7 linked regions of the Ovis aries genome follow. The protein of the gene in region 1 purifies or fractionates together with the protein of each later gene. This does not show direct contact. Links are inferred from orthologs where the notes say so. Each region holds a gene or a part of one and is shown on either strand. Other genes may lie near its edges.

The links.
Region 2: the proteins of SF3B1 (region 1) and SART1 purify together in Homo sapiens (co-immunoprecipitation; 4 studies listed by BioGRID and IntAct, with this or other methods). This does not show direct contact. The link is inferred for Ovis aries from reciprocal best matches to the Homo sapiens genes SF3B1 and SART1.
Region 3: the proteins of SF3B1 (region 1) and PRPF8 purify together in Homo sapiens (affinity purification with mass spectrometry; 5 studies listed by BioGRID and IntAct, with this or other methods). This does not show direct contact. The link is inferred for Ovis aries from reciprocal best matches to the Homo sapiens genes SF3B1 and PRPF8.
Region 4: the proteins of SF3B1 (region 1) and PRPF4 purify together in Homo sapiens (co-immunoprecipitation; 3 studies listed by BioGRID and IntAct, with this or other methods). This does not show direct contact. The link is inferred for Ovis aries from reciprocal best matches to the Homo sapiens genes SF3B1 and PRPF4.
Region 5: the proteins of SF3B1 (region 1) and U2SURP purify together in Homo sapiens (affinity purification with mass spectrometry; 4 studies listed by BioGRID and IntAct, with this or other methods). This does not show direct contact. The link is inferred for Ovis aries from reciprocal best matches to the Homo sapiens genes SF3B1 and U2SURP.
Region 6: the proteins of SF3B1 (region 1) and DNAJC8 purify together in Homo sapiens (co-immunoprecipitation; 4 studies listed by BioGRID and IntAct, with this or other methods). This does not show direct contact. The link is inferred for Ovis aries from reciprocal best matches to the Homo sapiens genes SF3B1 and DNAJC8.
Region 7: the proteins of SF3B1 (region 1) and MAGOH purify together in Homo sapiens (co-immunoprecipitation; 3 studies listed by BioGRID and IntAct, with this or other methods). This does not show direct contact. The link is inferred for Ovis aries from reciprocal best matches to the Homo sapiens genes SF3B1 and MAGOH.

What each region holds. Positions count from the first base shown.
Region 1 is NC_056055.1:199,700,664-199,703,289, forward strand, and holds the end of SF3B1 (splicing factor 3B subunit 1), read right to left. Parts: intron 1,490-2,626; coding exon 1,273-1,489; intron 985-1,272; coding exon 826-984; 3' UTR 501-825; downstream 1-500. UniProt on the Homo sapiens protein: Component of the 17S U2 SnRNP complex of the spliceosome, a large ribonucleoprotein complex that removes introns from transcribed pre-mRNAs.
Region 2 is NC_056074.1:40,495,641-40,499,605, reverse strand, and holds the start of SART1 (U4/U6.U5 tri-snRNP-associated protein 1), read right to left. Parts: upstream 2,801-3,965; 5' UTR 2,747-2,800; coding exon 2,434-2,746; intron 410-2,433; coding exon 352-409; intron 1-351. Other genes in the region: TSGA10IP (testis-specific protein 10-interacting protein), read right to left, coding at 3,639-3,771. UniProt on the Homo sapiens protein: Plays a role in mRNA splicing as a component of the U4/U6-U5 tri-snRNP, one of the building blocks of the spliceosome. May also bind to DNA.
Region 3 is NC_056064.1:22,672,302-22,675,801, forward strand, and holds part of PRPF8 (pre-mRNA-processing-splicing factor 8), read right to left. Parts: intron 1,722-3,500; coding exon 1,557-1,721; intron 1,471-1,556; coding exon 1,252-1,470; intron 1,118-1,251; coding exon 905-1,117; intron 693-904; coding exon 567-692; intron 474-566; coding exon 368-473; intron 1-367. UniProt on the Homo sapiens protein: Plays a role in pre-mRNA splicing as core component of precatalytic, catalytic and postcatalytic spliceosomal complexes, both of the predominant U2-type spliceosome and the minor U12-type spliceosome.
Region 4 is NC_056055.1:10,447,135-10,451,291, forward strand, and holds the start of PRPF4 (U4/U6 small nuclear ribonucleoprotein Prp4), read right to left. Parts: upstream 2,801-4,157; 5' UTR 2,717-2,800; coding exon 2,684-2,716; intron 1,948-2,683; coding exon of another isoform or gene 1,945-1,947; coding exon 1,767-1,944; intron 1-1,766. UniProt on the Homo sapiens protein: Plays a role in pre-mRNA splicing as component of the U4/U6-U5 tri-snRNP complex that is involved in spliceosome assembly, and as component of the precatalytic spliceosome (spliceosome B complex).
Region 5 is NC_056054.1:246,575,021-246,578,520, forward strand, and holds part of U2SURP (U2 snRNP-associated SURP motif-containing protein), read right to left. Parts: intron 2,120-3,500; coding exon 2,001-2,119; intron 764-2,000; coding exon 587-763; intron 1-586.
Region 6 is NC_056055.1:238,878,464-238,882,664, reverse strand, and holds the start of DNAJC8 (dnaJ homolog subfamily C member 8), read right to left. Parts: upstream 2,801-4,201; 5' UTR 2,770-2,800; coding exon 2,692-2,769; intron 1-2,691. UniProt on the Homo sapiens protein: Suppresses polyglutamine (polyQ) aggregation of ATXN3 in neuronal cells.
Region 7 is NC_056054.1:27,767,754-27,770,928, forward strand, and holds the end of MAGOH (protein mago nashi homolog), read right to left. Parts: intron 1,921-3,175; coding exon 1,838-1,920; intron 742-1,837; coding exon 642-741; 3' UTR 501-641; downstream 1-500. UniProt on the Homo sapiens protein: Required for pre-mRNA splicing as component of the spliceosome. Plays a redundant role with MAGOHB as core component of the exon junction complex (EJC) and in the nonsense-mediated decay (NMD) pathway.

The sequences.
Region 1 (2,626 bases):
TTACGACATGACATGGGCAAAGAACTCAAAAGATTGTCTTATTCTAACTAGCATGACTTAGAGGTAGCCTCACTCCCTACAAGTAGAAGTTTAAGCTACTTTTCCCACATTCTAAACAGAATTGTCACGAGTTGGATATGACTTCAATTACTTCCCTTAAGCAAATTCATAAGCATTTTGAGAAATCAAGAGATGAAAGGCGCTATGCAAGTGCAAAATAATATTAAAGACAGTTCAGCAAAGGTGCTATATTTTCTAAGGTGATGGAAGGGTTGTGCTAGTTTGAGGTTAACACCCTCAAAGCTACTCTTCCTAATGTCTTTATCAACAGAGCAATGGAATTTTGACAAAGATACCATCACTTTATATAGCTTGTATTCTACTAACTACTCTCTATAAACCAGGTGACAGAAAACGATATTAAGCCACTTATTCTACAGAAACCAGTACTTTATCAAAGTTCCGCATTTTACAAGTCATGTTCAAAAAACACACACAAGTTAGCATTTTGTACACAAACGTTTATTTCTCAATTAAACATTCCCTTTAAACACAAGGAATGAATTCTAAATCTTCATAAACATGAATTAAAAATGAAAGCCCTCCAGTATAGTGTGTGTAATCACTGTGTTCTTGGTCACTACTGGCGTTTACTGCTTAACATCAAAAACAAAGGTTATTTAAAAATCATGCTACTGGATTTCTAGCTCTTCCTCTAAGACCAGGTCTACGCTGATCTGCAATGTTTAAAAGTTTACATCACCAAATCAAAGCAAGTTTAAGGTGTGAAACAGCTGTGCATTAAACACAAAATAAACAATAAAGTTACAAGATATAGTCAAGTTCATAACGAATATAGGTGTTCTTATCATCATTGTAGATTCTTGGGTAATGTGCTATGAGAGCATCCTGTGAACCGATGTAGATGGAGTTGTAAATTTTCCAATACACATCTCTGACTTTCCGGGCTGGGTGAAACAAACCCTAGAATAATTAAAAGGTTATATTATTTCAAGAAATACATAACCTTAACACAACTAACAAACAAACCATAAAGATATGGTTCTAAACATCTCCCTTTGAGAGAGGAAAAAAAAAGATGTCAATTTCATAAAACTGAAGTGGGCAAGGACAAAATCTAATCTTCTCTCCCCTCATAACTGTTTTCCCATATGGCACAAATATATCTTCCCTAATGATAATTAGGAACAGTGACTTAATTCAACTACATTATTTTTTCAATGAATACTGTTTAAAAAACCTTTAACCTACCTGTAAACAATACTGTAGCATTCTACATGGTCCAATAGCAACTCTCAGACCCTCCAGGGCCCCCATAACTGCCTGAATTACATGGGGAGATGTCTCGAACACATTGGGCCATACATAGTTCAACAAGTGATTCAGCGAATCTTCGCAACCAAATCCATAAACCCCAAGTGACATGTGTTGCACCACTGCACTAGCAGTCTGTCTGTGTACAAGGTCCCTGTAATGGAGAGGGGAAAAAGCTTTTTATTAAGATGCAGTCTTAGTTTCACAGAAAATACTTGCATGCCTGTTAGAAACTAAATCACAAATTCAGTGCTTGGAATGGATGCAGAGTCATCCTTACACCTCGTGTATCTGACATAGGATACCTTAAGAATGACTGATGATTATACTTGAGAACTTTTGCTTTGATGATTCAAACCTGCTCACAATGGCTCAAAAATAAGCTATATTTTTCTTTCAGAGTAACAGGAGCAAGAAGGCCCAGCACAATGTGTATTTTTGCAAGCTACTAAAAATAAGAGAGGATACATGACTCTTAACATACGAACAATTAACAGTAATATCTCATTTTAAACTCTGTAAATTTAAAATCTTCGGAAGTAATTCAATACTGTATACAGTAAATAAATAAAATGAGATTAAATCCCTTCCCTTGTGGTTTTTTAAAAAGATTCATTCAAGAGTTCAATTTGGGGAAAGGAAGAGAAGGACTAATAATTTTTTGAAACCCAGAAAAAAGAACTTTTATCACCTCCCATGTTTTGACTGACTTTATGACAAATCATTGACTTATTTATTCCATAATTTATTCAACTGAGTACAAGTATCAGATAAAACGTCTATGATAGGTATAAAAACAAGTTCACACGTTTTACCCTCGAAGGCAAGAAGAGAACCTGAAAGGTATTTAAGAGAAAAAAATACTTTTTTCTCTTAAACCTTAAGAGGAAAAAAAAAGCACCTGAACCGACTTAGTTACTAGCATCTTTATTTCTCTTATTTATTATAATAATCTATTAGGCATAGATTATAATGAATCTGTATTCCTCCTTGGTAAATTTCCCAACTAAAGTAATGTTTCTTGGTATTAGGACTGTATCAATCACCTCCAGCAATACTTTATCAGGGGTCACCATCTGAATAATTGGGGGCCTGCAGTGACAATAGTGTGGCTCTGGCAGGCTATGTTCAGTAGTTAAAAGTGTCTCTGCTTCACCTGCCATAACAAAAAGCTAAAAAGATCAGGTCTCTCTGTTACATCAATAAGCTCATGCTCATCATTTTCTTTGTAATTTTTAAAACAAAAGTTGATTGGAAATTCCCTGATGGTCCAGTTGTTAGGACTCAGCGC
Region 2 (3,965 bases), on another chromosome or scaffold:
GCTGTCCAAGAAATGGGGGCACCAAATGCATTTCTGGACAAAGAGGGGGAGAAAACAGGAAGGGACTGAGTGGTCCGAAGGGTCTCAAACCTAGGGCCTGACCCAGCAGTGGGAAGAGCACCGGCCTCCCAATCAGCCGGAAGGCCTGGCCTGCCCCCTAGCCAGGGCAAGGCCATGCTCTCCTGGGCCTCAGAGTCCACTTCGGGAACTCAGCTGGTTGGCTAGGATGATTTACATGACACTTCCAACTTCAATCAGAACATGTACTACGCGAAAGCCTCCCCAGACAGCTACCCCAGAAGCTGCTTGTCCCACAAGAAAACACAGAAATGAAAAGGAGACAGGACTTACTTGGTCTCCTCAATGCTGAGTGACGAGGCATCGCCTGAGCTAGTTTTGGAGCTGGCAGCTGGAACAAGAAGCAGCAAGGCTCAGGGGCAGAGCACTGGGCCCAGGAGCCGCAGCCCTGGCTCCAGGTGCAGGGCCGAAGACGAGGTCAGCACCTCGGCCTGCTTCCCCCCAACCAGGAGCTCCTTCCATCCGAGTCCCAGGCTCTGAGAACGCTGCTTCTCCCCACACCTTCCTTTCCTGATCCAAAGGGTCCAGCTTTCTACATCCTTCACTTCGCCACCTCTCCACTTTTGCGTATCCTGTGCTTTCAACCTACACTGCCTTCTCTGGCCTCAGGCTGTTAACAAAATCCTATCAGACCCCACTTCCTCCCTGGAGTCCTGCTCCATTACTGATCAGCATGACCTGCTCTCCTCTGCACAACACTGCCACAGTCATTTCTGGACCTGCTTCTCCTCACAGGGTAGGGACCATCTTGGCAGCATAACTATGCCCTCTGTGTAATTCATGCAGTGAAGAAATATACTTATTGGAGCCTCTTCTGTAATGTTGCTGAGATCACTGAGATACAGGAGCATTTAGGACATCCTCTACTCACCTCACAAACAGCAAGTGACTTCACTGAACACCACATGCAGAAGTCAGATTCGGACTCAGACGGAGCTGCCCCTACCAGGCGCCACCACAGCTCATCGTTCCAGCATGTTCGCCTCACAACCTACCTCTGTACCTTATCCCACTTGAACTCTGAATCCCAACCACTCCAGGCTCTCTCCAAGATCACCAGCCTCCTTATTTCAAAACCCCAAGGATTCTTTTCAGCTCTGGTTTTCATCTGGTCTCCAGCAGTGTGTGACACAGATGATCACTCCCACAGATCCCCTGACACGAGATTCTATGGTTTTCCTGCTTTGGGGGACAGCCTACCTCCTTTTTTCGTAGCCTCCTGCTCAGCGTAATACTAAGACACTAGCATTTATCAGGTTCTCCTACCAGTAGGCTTCCTACTCCTAGTCTCTCAGTGGACTTCATATGCCACCTAAACACTCATGATTCCCAAACTGCTCTATCCAGCCCAAGCCCTGAGTTTCTCCATGCACATAAAATTCAACACTCTCCAAAACGGAATTCGGTTGTCTCCCTCCAAAAATCTGTTTCTCTTCCAAACTCCTGAAATTAGTCGACAGCACTGTGCATGTGTGCTTCGGTCACTTCAGTTGTGTCCAAATCTTTGCCACCCTGTGGACTATAGCTCTCCAGGCTCCTCTGTCTATGGGATTCTCCAGGCAAGAATACTGGAGTGGGATGCCATGCCCTCCTCCAGGGGATCGTCTCAACCCAGGGATAGAACCCTTGTCTCTTTTGTCTTCTGCACTGCAGGCAGATTCTTTACCACTGAACCACCAGGATAACATCAGCAGAGATCACTACCACTCAACTAGTTGCTCAAGTCAAAATTCAAGGCACACCCTCAATTCCTTCTTCTCTTTCCAGCCCTCATCCAAATGCTAAGCTCCATCACCTCCTCCTCCAAAACACCTCTCCAATCTGTCCACGTCTCTCCATCCCATGGCTAATGCCTCGGTGCAGGCCACCATCAGCCTTCATCTCACCTCCAGTCTCTACTGCCCTTCTCCCAGATCTTTGCAAAATATGAATGTGATCAACTCACTCGTCAGTTCAAATTCATGGCTTCCTCTCAAAACAAGTTTCACTTTCTTAACAGGGCCTATATGGCCCTTAGTGTTCAGATCCGTGTCTCTCTTACAGACTGCTGTCTCTCCTATGAACTCTACACAACTTTGACAACATGTTTGTTCTTGCCTCTGCACATGCTACCATCGCTTCATTCATTCAACACATTCAGGGAGGGGTCGTGAGGAAAACAAAGAAAATCTCTACCCTCAGAGAGTTTAACAAAGAAAGACAACCTTCAGTCCCAAATAGCCATAGGAAGACCCTTTAGAAAGTGCTGACGAAAAAGCCAGAGGATGCCTCGGCCTGGTGCGCTCGGCCTCCATACCCAGAGCCCACATACCCGAGGCACCTCCGGTCGCCCCGCCCCCTGCACAGGCCCCTCACCGGCCTCGTAGCCATCATCCCGCTTCTCCCGTTTCACGCGCCGCTCGGAGGGCTCTGTCTGGCTGCGCTCCCGCCCGTGCGTGCTGCTGCGAGCCTCATTTTCGGCCCCGCGCCGCCCGCTCCCGCGCTCGCTCCCACGCTCTCGGCTTCGCTTCCGTCGTTCGCCGCCGCTACTGCCGCCGCCGCTGCTCCGATGCTTGTGTTTTTTGTGCTCCCGGTGCCTAGGCGGCTGTTCGGTAGCGCCCCCGGTGCTGGCCGCTGCTGTAGTTCCTGCCGCCTCCTTTTCCCCGCGGTGCTTCTTTGACGACCCCATGGTGGTCTGTCTAACCCCGAGCCCGGCCGCCGCCGAGCCCCGACGACGCAAAATGGGAACACTTCCGGGTCGCCCGACAGCCGGTGTCCTGTTGCCGGAAACCAAGAGCGGCTGCTTCCGTCGTTTGCCTCGGAGCCTGCCCCAAAGGCTCATGGGAAGGCCGGGATCTGAACCCGACTGCGCAGTCGCAGCCAGCCTAGCCGGGGTAGCGGTCTTTGAGCCGGGGGGCCGACTGCGCATGCGCGCCTCAAGGTTCGCCACTGGGTCTGGGGAAGACAGTATCCCAGAATGGGACCTAGGGACCATCCAAGCCAGGATCGCCAGAGCTGGAAGCCCCTTCCCGGCTTCCCTCCGCTTTCACACCCTCAATTACGGATGTTCACTGGCTCACGGACTGTCTCTGGGCAGGGTCCACCTCTCCAGTGGCGTCCTCCTAGTGTACTGCCTGGGGTCGTGGCTCCATCGGGTGTTAAACGACGTAGCATGTTCTCCCGAGGCCCCCAGCTCCACAGTCCAGCTTCCTTCCAACCCCTACATCTAGTATTGTCTGCCAACGCTGCCTTGCCACGCTCCTTGGATTGGGTTTTTAACCTGAGCTCTGCGACTGCCCCGGAGGTCGAGTTGAGCTTCTGTGTATCTGTAAACCCCCTGAAATCGAATGCAAAATTTGGCACATCCGTGTGTGTGTGAGCTTTTCTTTTTCTTTTCCTTTGAGGAGACTGTTAACTTGTAGTTAAAAGCTCAGTTCACACAATTCCTCCTGACACCCCCACTTGCCAGTTGCTCGATCTGCCAGCCCATCTGTTAGGGTGTGATTATGCGCCCTTTTAAAGGCCCGCCCCCTCCCCCACAGGACTGGGCGTTCCCAAAGGCGGAAGGCATTCTGTCCTGTTCACTCTTGAATTTCCAGGACCCAGCATTGGTAGGAGTTGCAGCTGTTGCTCTTGGGAGATGCCCCACTCGCTCCTCTGGGCAGAGACACAGCCGTGTGTGCTGGGCGGGGGCCGTCGCAACAGCCAGGGTTCCTGGGGGATGTGAGCACAAGCCAAGCGTGCTGCATACCCACCTGCCACGGCCTGCTCCCAACCCACAGCCACTTCCCACCACCGCCAGAAATCCCACACCGTGTTTTCCACAAAGCATTTAATTTTTATCTCAGGGACTCAACTCTTGGTCTGGATTTGGGGCGAAGTGCTGGTCAGCCTGGCTGCCAGTGTGT
Region 3 (3,500 bases), on another chromosome or scaffold:
GGACACAGGTGTGATCCCTGATCAGAGAACTAGATCCCGCATGCCACAACTAAGGCCTGGTGCAGCCAAATAAATAATAAAATATTTTTTAAAATAAAAAATTTTTCTGGAAACAGACCAGAATAAGATTAGAGTCCCAGAGGAGAAACAATAAAGCCCAGATGAGTAATCATAGAAACCAAGATAACATCAATAACTTGGTTTGAGCCAAGTGCCAAACTCTCACATTACAGTTCCCCTCTTACAGCTTGAGGGGACCACTTAAGGATGGAAATCATGTCTCCCTCTAGCTGGACTTTTATCTAGTCATGCTTCTGCCCAGTCAGGAAATTTCTCTTGAAGAGCTGAGAATGTCCCTTCCTCTCACCTTGACAGAGTGTCTATGGGAAATTGGGTTGATCAAAGGATCAAAGTAGAAAGCTGGCAAATCAGGATCCTCAGTTTTGATGAACACAACATTAGGAGTGTGGTACCTGAAATGAAACAAGAGTCAGCCAAGGTGCTCCCCGCTGGCCCAACCGAAATGCAGCCACCCCTTTCACCCAGCTGGGCTCCAGCTCTCTCACCAGGTGAGGTGGACATGGTGCGGCAGGTTGTTATACAGGTAAGGAAACGCAATCTTGTACTCGGTGCGGATAGGCTGCCGGATGATGATCTTGTTAATGTCGTTGAATTCATTCCAGTCTTCATCCCTAGGGCACAGAATCAAGGGTGAGCAGCTGAGTTGGGCAGTCTGGAAACTACAGTGGGATCTAAAGGATCAAGATTAGATTTTACAATGGCTGCTTCATGTTGATGTTGGGCAGAAACCAACACAATTCTGTAAAGCAATTCTCCTTCAATTAAAAAATACATTTAAAATTTACTTTTTTAATTTAAAAACACTCTACTCTCTCTAACTTACTGTAGGTTGATGTCTCGAACAAGAGGCTCAAATTTGGGGCCTCCAGGAATGGCCATATTAAGTGCCTTGGATGTAAAAAAGGCCTTCAGATCAAACAGATAGAAGTAATTGTCATCAACCAAGTCTGTCAAGAGCTGATTGGCCAGGCGGTAGAGAGTGGACATCATAGGCAATGTGAACTGCCAGCGCTGGTAAGTGGAACCATTTACATACCTAGGGAAAAAAGAGAGGCCCATATAAGTTCAAGTAGGTGTACCAGCTAGCCAGGTCATGCTACCTACTGGTCTCCCAGGACCGCTCTGGAGTTCCAAACCCTCACAGGAGTGGTAACTCCAACTATCACTCACTTCCGGCTATCCCTTAATGGCTGATGGTCATAGAACCAGTCCAATACAGGGGCATCCTCCTCAGGGTCCAGCTCTAGCTGAATGGCTTCCAGTGGCTCAACATCTAGGATATTGTCAGCATAGTCCAAAGGTGGCTCCTCATCATCAAAAGGGGGGAAACGCATCCTCTTGAAATGCCTCCTGTCTCTTTTTTCCCGACGCATCATAATCCACATTGACCTGGAAGTCGACAATGTCACGCAACAGTTTCTGCACGGTGTCCCCTCAACTGCCACCACCACACCCCACATTCCAGCCCTTCTCACCCCCACTGGGAGATGTAGACAGGTTCAATGACCCAGGGGATCTCATTGACAAAGGAAATGGCTCCGGTGATGTGGTACAGCACAGGCACATCCCGGATCTGCTCCCAAGGCATAGGCATGTTCTCCAGGAGCTTGAGGACTGCATGTGGCATGTACTTGAGGGCACTGTAACAACAGGAAGAGAGATGATTAGAAACGACAAGGTGTTCTGCTACCTGAGCCATGCAGAGAAGTAACAAGGTACCACAGTATCCGGCCTTACAGTCTAAACTCCTAAGTACAGTACACAGGCCCTCCACAGTATCCGGCCTTACAGTCTAGACTCCTAAATATAGTACACAGGCCCTCTGTGACCAGGAACTCTGCCTCCCCACCTCCAACAGTGCCACTTTTTTTTCTTAAACATCACTGTCCCACAATACTGGGTTTCAGTCCCTCTAAATCATCAGCTATCTCCCTAAAAACAGCTTTTAGGCTATCTCACATCCTATCTCTCTATGAAGTGAAGTCGCTCAGTTGTGTCCGACTCTTTGCAACCCCATGGACTGTAGCCTACTACGCTCCTCCGTCCATGGGATTTTCCAGGCAAAAGTACTGGAGTGGGTTGCCATTTCCTTCTCCAGAGGATCTTCCTGACCCAGGGACCGAACCCAAGTCTCCCGCACTGTAGGCAGATGCTTTACCGTCTGAGCCTAAATAATAAAATATTCACTACACTTTATTTTAATCATTTGTCTGTTATGTCAGTAGGCCATAAGCTCCAGAAAAACTGTTGCTTCCTGACTGTTGCTATATCCCTGGCACCTAGCACAGTTCTCAAATACTTTTGAAATAAACACAACTTCCGTTGCTGTCTTGGACTAGTTCATGAAATGGCTAACACTTCTGTGTAAAAATGAAAAAGGATCTGCTAAGGTATTTATACCTGTACTCACCCACCTTGGGAAAACAAAAGGACACAAAGACCTCAGAAAGTAACTACCCTCAAACCTGAAGATTCTTGTCACTTAGGAATTACAGGCAACAAGAATGTATGCTTTAATTCACTCAAAGATAAAGATGTCTTATCATAGTGGCAACAGGACAAATTAAAAACTCCAGTCCCAGATCAGGGAAAAGAAACAGAACAACAAAGAACATAACTGAGAACATCTTACATTGTTGGTAGTAACATAAATTGTTACAGTCACTAAGAAGAACAATATGGAGGTTCCTTAAAAAAACTAAAAAACAGAGCTACCATACGAGCCAGCAATCCTACTCCTGGGCATATATATAGAAAACCATAATCTGAAAACAAACACGAAACCCAATGTTCACTGCAGTACTACGTCCAACAGCCAGAACGTGAAAACAACCTGAACACAGATCAACAGATGAGAGGATAAAGAAGACGCAGCACACGCACACTCAGTCCAGTCCAGTCGCTCAGTCGTGGCCGACTCTGCGACCCCATGAACTGCAGCACGCCAGGCCTCCCCGTCCATCACCATCTCCCGGAGTTCACTCAGACTCACGTCCATTGAGTCGGTGATGCCATCCAGCCATCTCATCCTCTGTCGTCCCCTTCTCCTCCTGCCCTCAATCCCTCCCAGCATCAGAGTCTTTTCCAATGAGTCAACTCTTTGCATGAGGTGGCCAAAGTACTGGAGCTTCAGCTTTAGCATCATTCCTTCCAAAAGAACACCCAGGGCTGATCTCCTTTAGAATGGACTGGTTTGATCTCCTCGCAGTCCAGGGGACTCTCAAGAGTCTTCTCCAACACCACAGTTCAAAAGCATCAATTCTTCGGCACTCAGCTTTCTTTATGGTCCAACTCTCACATCCATACATGACTACTGGAAAAACCATAGCCTTGACTAGACAGACCTTTGCTGGCAAAGTAATGTCTCTGTTTTTGAATATGCTATCTAGGTTGGTCATAACTTTCCTTTCAAGGAGTAA
Region 4 (4,157 bases), about 190 Mb from region 1:
CTGCTGCTGCTAAGTTGCTTCAGTCGTGTCCAACTCTGTGCAACCCCATAGACGGCAGCCCGCCAGGCTACCCCATCCCTGGGATTCTCCAGGCAAGAACACTGGAGTGGATTGCCATTTCCTTCTCCAATGCATGACAGTGAAAAGTGAAAGTGAAGTCGCTCAGTTGTGTCCGACTCTTAGTGACCCCATGGACTGCAGCCTACCACGCTCCTCCGTCCGTGGGATTTTCCAGGCAAGAGTACTGGAGAGGGGTGCCATTGCCTTCTCCGCTGCATGCCTCTAGGGACAGTTAACTAATCTGTTAGAAACTTTAGTTTCTCAGTTTATTAAAGTATGCCAAACACAGAAAACTAAATGAGGTTTTAAAGGCCAGAAACTGGTTCAAGTCATCTTGTTTCATTTGGCAACTTACACTTACATAAACACACAGCCTTCATGAGACAATGAGAATATGGAGCACTTTTAACAAGTTATCTAGGCTTTCTATCCATGGCAAAATAGAAACATTATTTCAACAGTTGCCAAAGCTACTCTCTGAAATAGTCTCAGTATAGGAACACTAACAAATCTAACAGTGAACTGGAAATAATTACCATGAAAATGATAAAGCCTTAACTACAAGGCTTTTTGGATAATCTAGTAGCTAGTTTTAAAACTCACATAAAAAACAAGCATTTGGATGAGAAGTGAGAAGTACAAGGGTGATGCAGTCATGTTTAAAATAACATAAAAGGTTTAAAACTCATGAAAAGTGCACACGTATAGAAAAGAAAATGTGTGGGAGGGTCGATGAGAAACAACAGAAGTCCTATCTGCACAGAAGTCTTTTTATACCCTTCCATACTTTCTGAATTTCTTATGACAAACATGAATGATTTTATTTTTAAAATATAGTAGACTACTAGTTACTGGCATGAAAAAATACCCTCAACAGTGTGTGCATACTTACTGGCTTACTTGTTTCCAACTCTTTGAGAGCTGGTAGACTGTAGCCCACCAGACCCCTCTGTCCATGGGGTTTTCCATGCAAGAAATACTGCAGTAGGTTGCCATTTCCTCTTCCAGGGGATCTTCCCCACCCAGTGATCAAAGCCACCTTGTCTCCTGTGTCTTGCACTGCAGGTGAATTCTTTACCCACTGAGCCATCAGGAAAGCCCATTTAACAGTATCACAATGACAAACGCAGCTTACAAAACAATTGGTTTATCGTGATTTCATTTATGGGAAAAAAAAGTGTATTTTTATAGCTTTATTAAGTTCTTGAAATGACATAGCTCCAATTAATACAGATTACAGGTTTTTCTACTTCATATGTTTCTTTATTGTTTAATTGCTTTCAAAATAAAGATGGCTATCACTTTAAAATTTAGAAGAGATAATTTCATTTTGGGTGAAAAACAGTTGAAAAACTAAAAAGAGGAGAATATTAGGAAACACAGTAGCTCCAAGCTAACGCCAGAACTACACTAGATCTCCAGAAGACAAAGGAAATCACTCTGAATTCAAATACACACTGAATAAATAAATTCCTAGTAAAATTACTAACAGTTTACTGAAGGAAAACTGTATAAAAGGTTTTAAGAAAAAGGTTCTTTGGATGATAAGACCAAGTCAGGTAGGTGGAGAATATGGACTTTGATAGGTGCAAGCTTATTAGTTGTAGTTTCTTGACATAAACTAGTGATATTTAAGATGAAGAAGGTAATCATTACAGAAAATTTGAGCACCAAAGGTAAAGATGAACTCACAATTTGAATCTTACCAGAGGTTATGTTAATGTTTCCTGCTTCAATTCCTGCTTTGAGTCCTTCTTTTCCCAAAAGCCCAGATTCTCCTTTGGCCAGACGCTCCCTCTCCTTCTCTTCCAAACTTCCATAATAGATGTGTGGTTTCTTCACAACAGGAGCCACTAAGTCATCTGGTGCCTTAGTTTTGGTTGCCTGCTAAAACAAAGACCTAGGTTAACCTAAAGCTTAATCTTAGCAGCCTAATAGGTTTCGCAGCAGAATGAAGCTTATTTAGAGCTTCAAACCTATTTCTTCCCCACACAAAGGACAAACCAGACACCAGTTAAAATGTGTCTTCCTTAATCTGGGGGTGGAGGGAAAGAGTGGTTCCAGTCTCTTAATCACTTAAGTTTTGTAGATAGGAAGAGATGGATAAAACTAGTCAATTTCTCGTGCTGATTTTTCTGTCAAAGGTTTTCTCTTGAATATGTGTATTTCATACGGCTGCAGCAGGTGAAATCTCTTCTTGGCTTTTATGAAATTTCCACAATTACTGCTCATCACAGGGGTATCAAGGATAACTGAAATAACCAACGCGATGGTACGGGGGCCAAGTTAGAAAGCTACTGTTCATACATTTCAAACGTTTCGGATATGAAGCAGTAGATAAGTTAGGAGGCCTCGTTACAATTAAGAGTTCTGAAAGTGTCATAAATCTTGGCCAAGACTCTACTCCCTTTCAGAGCTCCGTTTCTGAACCAGACGGAAGAGATATTTACATTTCGGGGCTGGAGTGAGAGGTGAAAACGAGCTAAAACAGATGGAAGCACCCAAGAATTAGGAAAACACCGAAGCCTTCCTCCTCGGCCCTCCACCGCCGTAGCCCGTTCCCTAATGGCCCTGTTTCGCAGGGACCCCCCCACCCCCTCAGCGCTCCCTGCCAGAATGAGACCTGTACCGTGGAGGAGGGTCGTGAGGAAGCCATGCTGGGCTCCGGGGACGCGAAGCCTCAGCGAAAGCCGCGCTCTACGTTTCAGACCGTCCACCGCGCGCCCAGCAAAGCGGAACTACGTCACCAACCGGAAGTGGTCCTAGGTCCGACGCAGCATCCTGGGAGGCGTGGAGCATTATGGGAATCGTAGTAGGAGGGAGTCTGGGCGAGTTGAGAGATGTGATCTGTAGAGCCTCAGAGAGAAGCACGCGGAGGCCAAGGTTCTGCGAAGAGAGAAACTCAGAGGCAGTGTGGGAAGTGTAGTCCAGTTGGCTTAGCGGATGATTCGGGGTGGGCGCCGAGGTTCCGGAAAGGGACTGAACAGGCCTGAAAAGAGGTAGGTGCGGGGAATCGCGCGGCTGCGAACTGAACTCAGGGAGCGAATCGAGGGATTCCGGGGCCTACTATCGGCTCCCGGCCCGGCCAGGGGCTCTAAGTCCTCCTGGCGCCAAGGCCTATGTTGCCATGGAAACTCTCGCCCTGGACCCTTGAGTGCAGCCCAGGAGCTGCGGCGGGAGTGCTGTTCTCCTCCACTGTCAGGAAGTTCTCTTGGCAGTTTCTTCTGGGCTGGGTAGGTTTTCGGTGAATTTGGGCAGTGGTGAAACAATAAGTTCAAAGAGCCCTCTAGCGCCGAAGTGAAATAAAGACCAGGCGGAGGAGCCACGCCCCGCTTTTGCTGTCTTCAGCAGGTCTTTCTGTCTTATTCCGAGAGAGATGATGAATGTGAGGCGTCAGGTAAACTGCAAGCAAGCAACTTGCACGACTCTGCTGCCCTGGGTGCTGGGGCATCAGAGGCGGACAAGACAAGATTCTTGCCCCCTTGTAGGGCGTGAAAGTGAAAGTGAAGTCGCTCAGTCGTGTCCAACTCTTTGCAACCCCATGGGTTCTCCATCCATGGGATTTTCCAGGCAAGGGTACCGGAGTGGATTGCCATTTCCTTCTCCTTGTAGGGGGTGGAGATGCTCAAAATATTGATGTTTCCAGAGCTGGAAAGAGCCCCCTCCTCTCCCCTAGGCCTCTTTCCGATAATAATGCCTATTTACTGTGAAAAATTCTGAAAGAGATGGGAATACTAGACCACCTGACCTGCCTCCTGAGAAATCTGTATGCAAGTCAAGAAGCAATAGTTAGAACTGGACATGGAACAACAGACTGGTTCCAAATCAGGAAAGGCATAGTAAAGGCAATATATTGTCACTCTGCTTATTTAACTTATTAGATGCAGAGTACATCATGCAAAATGCCAGGCTGGATGAAGCACAAGTTGGAATCAAGATTGCCGGGAGAAATATCAATCACCTCAGATATGCAGATGACACCACCCTTATGGCAGAAAGTGAAGAAGACTTAAAGAGCCTCTTGATGAAAGTGAAAAAGGAGAGTGAAAAACTTGGCTTAAAACTCCACATTCAGAAAACTAAGATCATAGCATCTG
Region 5 (3,500 bases), on another chromosome or scaffold:
GAGTTATCTGTTATAGAAAAATTTTACTAAAAAATGGCTACAATAAAAACGTTTTAGGATAAAAAGCAGTTTCAGCTCTCAGGAAAACTCTATAAACACCTAGATAAACAAAACACTTCTGGAACACCTTTCTGGAACTTGGAGGAAAAAGGTACAGAACACACTAAATTAAACGCTGAAGAAATAGTCTATGGTATTTATGTCCACAAGTCTACCCAAGAACTTGCTAATAAGATTACTGCTGGGTGGGGAGGGAACATGTATTTTTCTTTCAGCCTTGACAAAAACTAAAGAATATTCCACAGAAACTAAAGAACAGAAAGGAAAGAAAAGCAGCTATTCCTACTTCACAGAAAACTGATGTTTAAAATTCCTGGCTGGTCTTTACGTGTTTAAGCTTTCTTGTGCTTTAGTCATGAGGAGACTGAGGTGGGGAGATGGGAAGGAAGAATCTAAAATGAAAGTATATCTGTTTGGTTTTCTAAAATCCTTTCAAAAATGGCTGCCAAACAAATTATTTTCAAAAGCTGGTGGAATGACAAGGAAACTGGCATTCGAAATATTACAAAAAATGACTTGCGTTTACCTTTTGGCCTTTTTGCTAACATCTCTAGGAGAATCTTTGTGAGATGACCTGGACCGTGAGCTCTCTTTATGAGATCTTTCTGAACGCTCTGATCGCTCCGATTTTGGTGATGGGGATTTCACTCGTCTACCACTGCTACTGCGAGATGGGCTAGGGGACGTACTGTGTCGCCTTTTCCTATGGAACAAAGCCCCGAAAACATCCCATAAGTGAGCAAAGGATCAGGTATATCATTTTCCTTCTACTAAATTAGCTTTTAATTCCTATCAGTTTACACTATCTTTACTTTCACTAACTTTATTAATGTTATTTTCCAACAACATTCAAAGCCTTTTACACTAAGAACCAAAAAGTCTTAAAGATAGGCTGACTGACACAAAAAGCTGAATTCAACTAAATTGGATTTTTCTCTGCTTTAAGAGAGATTATTGGAACAGTAGTCAAAATTCCATCAAGGTCTCTGATTAGATGATAGTGTTTTTTTTAAATGTTAATTTCCTGCTCTTGAAAATTTTTTCCTTTTGTTCGATCTGGAAACTTACTGTGGTTAAGTATGAAAATGGGGCATCATGTAAGCAAGTTATTCTTAAATGATTGGGGGTAAGGGGGGAAAGGAAGAAGAAGAAGAAAATAAAGCAAAAGGAGAAATACTTTTAACACTGGGGGAACGAAGGTGAAAGATTATCTGGGAATTCTTTATAGCATTCTTAAAACTTTTCTATAACTCTGAAATTTTATCAAGATAATAATAAATGACAAAAAAGTGATGGATTTACTACTTTACCAATTAGTATAACCATGTTATCTTGTAACTATATGAAGAGTGACTAACCCAAAATTTTTTAATTTGCATTTGCTTGGTTTTTATTATGAAAATCTCAATTCTAAAGTAACTTTCTCTACTAATCAGAGATTTAGGAAATGTAAAAGTAAGAATAAAAACTATAAGAGAAATTATTTTGATTAGAATGAAGACTTAAAGTGAGGACCAAGCCCTACAGCCTAAGTACACAATCTCCCTTAACATACAGGACTGGGAGACTCAAGTTTACAGGTAGCAGCCTCAGCACAGAAGAAAAGCTTATATTGGCGGTAACAGGTAAGATCTAGCAAGCTGCTTAGTTATTTAAGCCTTCAGTTCGATACCTAATACTGTAACTGAATTCTTGCCCTGAACTAAGGCTAAGGTACCTTATGAACCATGTAAAGGGATGATGTCCCAGGTAACTAAGCCTAGTGTCAAATGCCCCTTTGCTCAGCTAATTCTGCCTTCTGCAGGTAGAACCCAAACATGTTTATCATACACAAAAAAAACCCTTTCCAATCTGTTGGTTCCAGTGATGAAAATATTACAAAATGAAACATGATTCCAAATCCTAAAGTCAGCATAGGCATTAAATGAGAAATGTTATACCTTTCTTTCCTTGTTGGAGTACATTCATCTTTCTCCTTCTTGTCTTTGGATCGAGATTCCAGTTTTTCTTTATCCTTCTTATCTCTTTCTCGCTCTCTTTCTAATTCCTTCTCTTTCTCCTGTTTTTTTTTTTTTCAAAGAAATATTTAGTCATTAAAAAACACCAATCTGGTTAATCTCATTTATGTAGTAATATTTTCCCTTCTAGTTAACTATTTATAAAATTACTACTGAAGGCATACCTACTCTTCCAGAAAGCCAATCATTTCTTCTACTTCTCTACTTATACTGAATGATAATAATGAGACCAGCAACAGTGGCTAAGTATTTTCTGAATGCCTACCATAGGCCAAGCAATTAATGAACAACTTTCCATATACCACTGCATGTAATTCTTCGAAACATGCCTATGAATAGTATTATCCTCATTCAAAACATGAAAAATGAGCCTTACAAAGGCTCAGTGCCATGCCTAAGGTCATAGAGGAATGAAGTCAGGATCTGAGCCAAAGCTCTAGAGTCAGGGCTCTTAAAGAGTGGTGTCCCTTCACTTAAAATAAACAAACTGGAAAAACAATATGATGACCTTTCCATCTCAGACTACTATAAAACTGTCAATAGTGATTCTAATTGTACAGCAAACTGATTTAATCAAAGGAAAGCACTTATTAACATACTAAAAAGGAGAAAGACTTATTCACAATAAATGTCTAGCAAAAAGTCTTAGTATTAATAGTGGGAAACAAGTATCAATCATATTGGAAATTTATAAAAGTACAAATTATAAATCCTAATATAAAAGTACAAATTGATTAGATGACTATATAATTACATAAATCAGAAAAATTACTTATTTGCTTATCCCCAACTGCTACAACTGCCACTTCTCACTTGAAATTATGACTGCTATTGATAATTAAGGGCATGGCTACTGACAATGAACCCACAAAGCCAACTGAGCTCTTCAAAAACAAGAATTAAAAAACAAAACAATTAAATTTCTCTATGATTTGTATGCATCAAGAGAGGTAACCGATATATGATAAAAAAAGCCCTTACCAGATGCTGGCAAATGTTTTCTGTAAAGGGCCAGGTAGTAAATATTTTCTGCTTTGTGGGCTATAGTCTGTCAACTTTATAACCGTAGTCCAAAAGCTACTACCGATAATACATAGATAATAACTGAAGGGGCATGGCTGTGTTCTAATAAGTTCATTAACAAAAATGAAGTGATGGTCATAGTCTGCTGACCCCTGGCCTATGTCTTCAAAAAAACACGTTCTTTCTTCCAATTATAACCATGGAGTGCAAGGAGACTAAAATGGTAATAAACATGTTACTACCTCAGGGCCAGTGGGCACCTCGAGGTACAGTCTTCCGTGCAAATCAAACACCTGCCACCATCCCCAAAGGGACTCAACAGGGTTCAGATATATCTTTTTTTTTCACCTCATGTATCTTTTCTCCAAATACAAATTCACAAAGTGATGTTGAAGAGAC
Region 6 (4,201 bases), about 39 Mb from region 1:
CCACTGTCAGAACTGAAATTTTAGTTGGAATGAACCTCTGGCATAGTATATATACTATCTTTATTTCTATGGCCAAAACAGAGTTGGAAAGGATTTCAATAACAGGAAAAGCTACTCCTTCTCAGCACCTTCCCTCTTAACTCTTGTAAAACAGCACGCCACTCCCCACCTTCGACCGTACTCTCTTTTTCCCAGTCTCATTTTTCCTCATAGCACTTAGCACTACCTAACACTATATTATACATCTGTTCATTATTCAGCCTTCTCTGTAAGATGAAAGCCCTATGAAGACGGGATTCTTCTTTCTGCTGTCAACTACCATTTCTCCAAGGAGCTAAACAATACAGGACGAAGTGCATATCAGGTGCTCAATAAACATTAGTTGAATGATGATTAAATGATCCTCCTTTAGACATTTTCTCTCATTAAACAAACCATGCCAGTGAATATGTAGATTTAAAAAAAAAAGGTGTCTGCAGGGCAAGCTCTAGCACTGCTGGAGTTTCCTAAGAGATATGGCTCATTTCAATGGGGCCACAAAAGGGAAAATCAGACACCCATGATGTTTGTACAGTACCTAATATGAAACCCATAGCCCATGAGCATGTAACTCATTTCATGAAAACCGTTCTGTTCATAACCACGAGTAGCTAAGACGAGCGCAAACTACCGCAAAACAGTCATAAGTCATTGCCCCCAGGAGAAAATATTCCGTCCCACAAAAAAAAAAAAAAAAAAAAAGTCATCTGTGCAATACAGCTCACAAATGAAATTGACATTAAAATTTAAACAAACCAGGACTGCTTTAAAAAAAAAAAACTAAGAAATTAAAACAAGTTCCCCTATAATTGTTCAGTACCCATTATTGTTAGTCACTCAGTCGTGTCTGACTCTTTGCAATCCCACACACTGTAGCCCGCCAAGCTCCTCTGTCCATGGAATTTTTCAGGCAAGAATATTGGAGAGAAGCCGTTCTCTTCTCCAGGGAACCGTCCCCGCCCAGGGTTCAAACCCCGGTCTTCCATATAACCAGCAGATTCTGGGCAGATTCTTTACCATCTGAGCCACCAGAAAACACTGGTACCAGCAAATTAACACTTCAAAGTGAATGAGACATTTTGAAAGTAGACTATAAATGGATGTACTATGTTGTTTTAAAATGTATTATTTCGGAGAAACTACTATGTAACAAAAGTGAAGTCGCTCAGTCCTGTCGGACTCCATGGTGTAGCCTGCCAGGCTCCTCCATCCATGGGATTTTCCGAGCAAGAATACTGGAGTGGGTTGCCACTTCCTTCTCCAGATCTTCCCGACTCAGGGATGGAACCCGGGTCTCCCGCACTGCAGTAAGACTCTTTACAGTCTGAGCCACTGCTGCTAAGTCGCTTCAGTCGTGTCCGACTCTGTGCAACCCCACAGACGGCAGCCCACCAGGCTCCCCCGTCCCTGGGATTCTCCAGGCAAGAACACTGGAGTGGGTTGCCATTTCCTTCTCCAATGCAGGAAAGTGAAAAGCGAGAGTGAAGTCACTCAGTCGTGTCCGACTCTTAGCGACCCCATAGACTGCAGCCCACCAGGCTCCTCCGCCCATGGGATTTTCCAGGGAAGAGTACTGGAGTGGGGTGCCACTGCCTTCCCCGTCTGAGCCACTAGGGAAACCCAACTATGTAGCAAGCACTGTTACAAATACCAGAGATAAAAGGTGAATGTAACACGGTGCTTAACTCTGAATACATCACAGCCAGGTGGCGAGCAACTCCATTCCTCAAATCCACACCAAGCTAAAGAAGTTCACATCCAGCCTTGTTTTTAACTTTTACAAAGTAGCTTCTTCTTTATATTTTATGAAACTTTCTTTTAACGCTCATTAAAACTCGTTTTAATAAAAAACTTCGTTCTACAAACGTGAAAATTGATTAGCAAAATCAATGGCTTGAAAGAATTGTCACAGTCACGTTAACAGCCATGCAAAAATCCAACCCGAGGTCCTATGACTCCAAGAGCCATCCTTTTCTTTATTCATTCATCCACTCATTCATTCATCCACTCAACAAATATTCACTGAGTAACTACTGCGCAGCACCCGATGGAGATGCGACAGTAAATGAGGCTCAAACCAAACTTACTTCGGTCCTAACATGATACCAAACTATCATCTGCTCTAAGACCCTGAACAAATTATTTCACCTCCCTAAACCTCAGGTATGTCATCTGTAAAATGGAGACAGTGCCTACAAGGCATGATGCACAATGCCTAGCGTTCTCGAATGTCAGAAATAACTACTACTAAAACTCACTACAGAGGACTAAGAGGAGAGAGTGCTTCCGTTTTGAATACAATCGGGGACCGGTAACCCGTTTAACCAGCCTTAGGCAGACCCACTTTCCCAGCCGCAGAAAGCATCCGACTACGCGAACTTGGGGAACTCTGCGCGCGCCCAAGCACTTCGTTGGCCAAACTCGACGCCTCCCCTCAGACGTCAGACCCCCGCCCCCTTTTAGTTTTCCAGGGGATCCCCCCTGCAGTATCAGAAGGAGACGCACACACACCCCGAGTCCCCCACCTCCCAAAAGGCCAGACAGGAGGGGCCGCCCAACGGTCCAGGCCAGGAGGATCACTGCCTTCTCCCACTGGGAGGATAGCCCCGGGCGGGGTCGCCCCGGTGCCGCCATTCCTCACTCCGTGTTTACCTCACTGTAGAAGGTCATAAATGCTTCCTCCGTGCTGCCTCCTCCACCCGAAGCCCCGCTCTCTCCTGGAGCCGCCATTTCCCCGGCCCAGCGACCACGTGACTCTTCTGCGCAGGCGCCACCTCACGTGATTCTTACAGGCCCGCCTCTCTAACCCCGGCCCTTTCCTTGCGTCTCTTAAAGGGGTCGCCGCCCAGCCAGGTACCTTTAAATAAACTTTTAAATTGGGGTTCCCCAGGTGGCGATAGTGGTAAAGAATCCACCAGCAGCAGGAGACATAATGAGACAGGGGTTCGATCCCTGGGTTGAGAAGATCCTCTGGAGGAAGGCCTGGCAACCCACTCCAGCATGCTTGCCTGGAGAATCCCATGGACAGAAGAGCCTGGCGGCCTACAGTTACGAAGAGTACAACACGACTGAGGCTACAGCCCATATGGTCGCAGAGAGTCGGAGACTGAAGTGATTTAGCACGCATGCACAGATGCCATACAGTTAACCATTTTAAAGTGAACAATTCAGTGGTCTTTAGTATATTCCCAGTATTGTGTAATCACCACCTGTCTAGTTTCAAAACAGTTGCATCGCCCCAAACGGACACTTAGTACCTAATAAGCAGTTTCTTCCCATACTTGCCAATGTCTCTATGGACTTACTTATGCTGGATGTTTCATGTAAATGCAGTCATACAACATGTGACCTTTTGTGTCTGGCTTTTTTCACTTAGCATGTTTCCCTGGTTCTTTCAAAATATAGCACACACCATTACTTCATCACTTTTACGGCTGAATAGTATTCCATCATACGTGTATACCACAATTAGTTTATTCACTAATTGATGACATTATTCACATCAGTTGATGGACATTTGGGTTGTTTCTATCTTTTGGCTATTGTAAAATGGTTCTGCTATGAAGGTGTGAGTACCAGTTTTCTACTGGGGGGAGGTATGTACCTAGAATTGAAATTGCTGCTGCTGCTGCTGCTGCTGCTGCTAAGTCGCTTCAGTAGTGTCCGGCTCTGTGCAACCCCATAGACGGCAGCCCACCAGGCTGCCCCATCCCTGGGATTCTCCAGGCAAGAACACTGGAGTGGGTTGCCATTTCCTTCTTGAATGCGTGAAAGTGAAGTCGCTCAGTCGTGTCCGCCGCCCCTTAGCGACCCCATGGACTGCAGCCCACCAGGCTCCTCCGCCCATGGGATATTCCAGGCAAGAGTACTGGAGTGGGGTGCCATTGCCTTCTCCCTGAAATTGCGAGTCATATGATAATTCTATACTTAACCTTTTGAGCAACTGCCAAGCTGTTTTTCGAAGTGGCTGAACCATTTTACAATCCCACTAGCAATGTAGGAGGGTTACAATTTATCCACATCCTCACCAGTGCTTGTTGTTTTCCATGTTTTTTAATTGCAGCCACCCTAATGCCTCTATGGATCTTTTGCACAAACTCATCAAGACCTTCCACTGGATGCCCACCCAGGAGATAATCAAAAAACACTGAGAACCAGAAGC
Region 7 (3,175 bases), on another chromosome or scaffold:
TGAAAAAACCAAAAAACCCTCCAACCTCAATTATACCTCAGTAAAGCTAGATGAAAAAAATCAAAATATCAACCATACCACTTTACTCCCTAAAAAATTAACATTTCATTAATACCAAATATGGAGTATTTAAATTTTCCTACTGATGGCAACTTTACATTTCCTGAATCATGATCCAAGCAGGGTTCGAACATTGTATTGATTATGTGATTATATGTCTCTCAAATCTTCTTTAACATTCCCACTCCATCTCCATTTATGTTTGCAGCTTATTTTTTTTTTAAGAAATCAGATCACTTATCCTGGAGTTTCCTCTGGTTACTGATTGGATTTCCAGTTATTTTTTAGCATGTTTCTCTAATCTTTTACTTCCTATAAACTGGTAGTTATATGTACAGAGTTGATTAGATTTTTGGCAATACTTCACATAAGAACCTAGTGTTAAAAAGTAATTTGAGACAAGTTCACATGTTCAGGTCTTTATAAAATTTAAAAAAAAATTGCTTTTTGTTATGTATTTATTAAAGACAATCATTTATAGTTTATAAAAAAAATACTGCCCTGATATACACAAAAATGTCTAGATAATGGTAATTAAAAGCAGCACTCCCACCCCCCTTGTGTCCACACCAATGTTCCATCTAGATTGGCTTAATCTTGAAGTGTAATCCAATAAGACTGAAGACCAAACACTTCAGGTCCTGGACAAGATAATAAAATACTCGTAAGCCTTCTGGATCCCTGTAATGCAAGAGGAAAAAGATGTTAAAAAAGCTGAAAAAACTCAGCAAAAATTACCATTTAATAACCCAGATTACTTACGTACCAGGATATTCCTCGTAAGAAGTATTTACAGAATTAAAACTTTGAAAACAACCAAATGTCCAAAAAGAAGAAAAATTCTATATACATTAAAATGGAATATTAAGAAGTAATTTAAAACATTAAGGTTTTTAAAGAAGGAAATGCTTATATTAAGTAGAAAAAAATCATGATTAAAGTAAGAGACTGTTGATCTCAATTCATTTTTTGTGCTTTAAAAGACTTTTTTAAAGCACAGGAAAAACACAGAAATACTTTAATATTAATGGTTATCTAACTGATAATTTTATGGGTGATTTTCACCTTTCTACATTTCTGTATTTCCTATATTTTCTACAGTAAGCACATATTACTTTCAGAATTAGGAAAACTTCCTTTTTAAGAGGTAGTGCTAAGCAGGACCAAGAGACTCACTCAACCTTACTATAGCATAAGTGGGTAAGAACAGGAGACTGTTCATAGGAAGACAACTATGCCCAACATGTACTGAAAGTGAACTATATCTAATCCCAAATCCTCAAAACACAAGAGACAAAGAGGCTGCCAAATTCTAATGATTCTGTGTATAGTGTATTCATGTCTCAATAATTTACCCTCGCAAAAACTAATTTTAAAATTTATATTCTAAATGATTTCAAGTTTCACTAAAGTCAGGCTTTAAGATGTGCAATCTGAATAACCAACACTGAGGAAGGTACCCAGACTCACTGATTTCATAGGTATTTCCAGCAGTTGCTTTTTGTTTTGGCCAGACTCTCCCACTTTGGCTGCCCCTATGGCATTACTCTGTGGGTGCATCACTGAGAAGCGCTCACTGACGACGACTGACTAAAACACCAAAAGCAAACAGAGCAAGCCCTTGAAGATAATCTGGGAGTCTCTCTATTGATGGGGACAAAGCTGGCCAGTTCTTAGATTTGTACCAGATTATTATCTTACCATAAGAGTCTCAATTTGATTATGGGTTTCATATCAGCATGCTCGAAAACAGACTATAAGGATCATGTGTACTTACTTGGATTGATTGACATCAATAAGGGAACCAATTTTTGATGTTGTGAAAGAAATGTGTTCGTCTCCAATGACAATTTCAAGCTCCTAGAAACATTGAAAGAAATATCAATCCGAATTGGTTTTCATCACACAAGAGAAGGGTTCATCATCTTCCAAATCACATGAACTCTAATACAGATGGCCACATTACCAAGACCAACCTGAGCCCTAGACTGTACTGGGTACTAGAAACAGATAAATGGTATGACCTAAATACTGGTTTAGTGCTTGAATAGCTTATACTTAGTTGTGTCTGTGAGGCTCCACATTTGGAAGAATTTACATTTGTGTTTCATATAGGAGTTTTCATTGTTAACAAGGTGGAGTAACATGTATAAATCTGTTTTACAAATACAAGAATCTAACATTTAAGGGCAACATTGGACAAGGAAAGGAATTCCAGACCTTGAGTTAATCCCAGCTTTTTCACTTACTAGTTGTATGCCCTTGGGCCTGAATTTCTAAAGAATGAAAGAAGTACCACAATCTTAAAAAGAAAAAAAAAATCTATTGGGCGGGGAATTGGGGGGGGTCTATGGGACAGATCAGCAAAACCAAAGATTTCTGCCCTTGTGGAACTTACAACCTATTGAGCTCTACTTCTTTTTAAAAAATAGTTATTTAATTTATTTGGCTGTGCTGGTCTTCATGCAGGATCTTTAGTTGAGGCATGTGGGATCTAGGTCCCTGAGCAGAGACCGAACCCGGGGCCCCCTGAATTGGGAGCATGGAGTGTTAGCCACTGGACCACAGGGGAAGTCCCCTGAGTTCTACTTCTTAACATTCAGACTTGAAATGTTAATATTTTGTACTTGTGTCAGTTTTTCAAGACAAATATTATAGTTTAGACCCACCTCCCACTCTATTCTCCTGCCTGCCCAGAAGTTGGAATGTATTTCCACTCATGGTTTTAGATTACATTGCAGTTTTTTGTTTTTAGCCACAGGGCATGGCTTGTGGGATCTCGGTAGTGAAAACGCCAAGTTCTAACCACTGATCACCAGGGAATCTCCATATTGAGTTAAAATTGGTTTGTTACATAAGTACAATATTCTATTTCTACTTCTGTATTATACTGGGCTAACCACCAAAAATTTAAGTTTCTGTCACCATACAGTTGATTCCCTTTACAAATTTTGTACACTCAGCCCCTTCCCTCTAATAACCACAACTCTGTTTTTTGTATCTATGTGGTTCCAGTTGGTTTGTTAATTTATTTTGGTTTTTGTTTATTTTCAACAAAGTTTTTATATGTAGATCAAGTTCATTATTTTTAGATGCTTGAGAATATTCATCATCA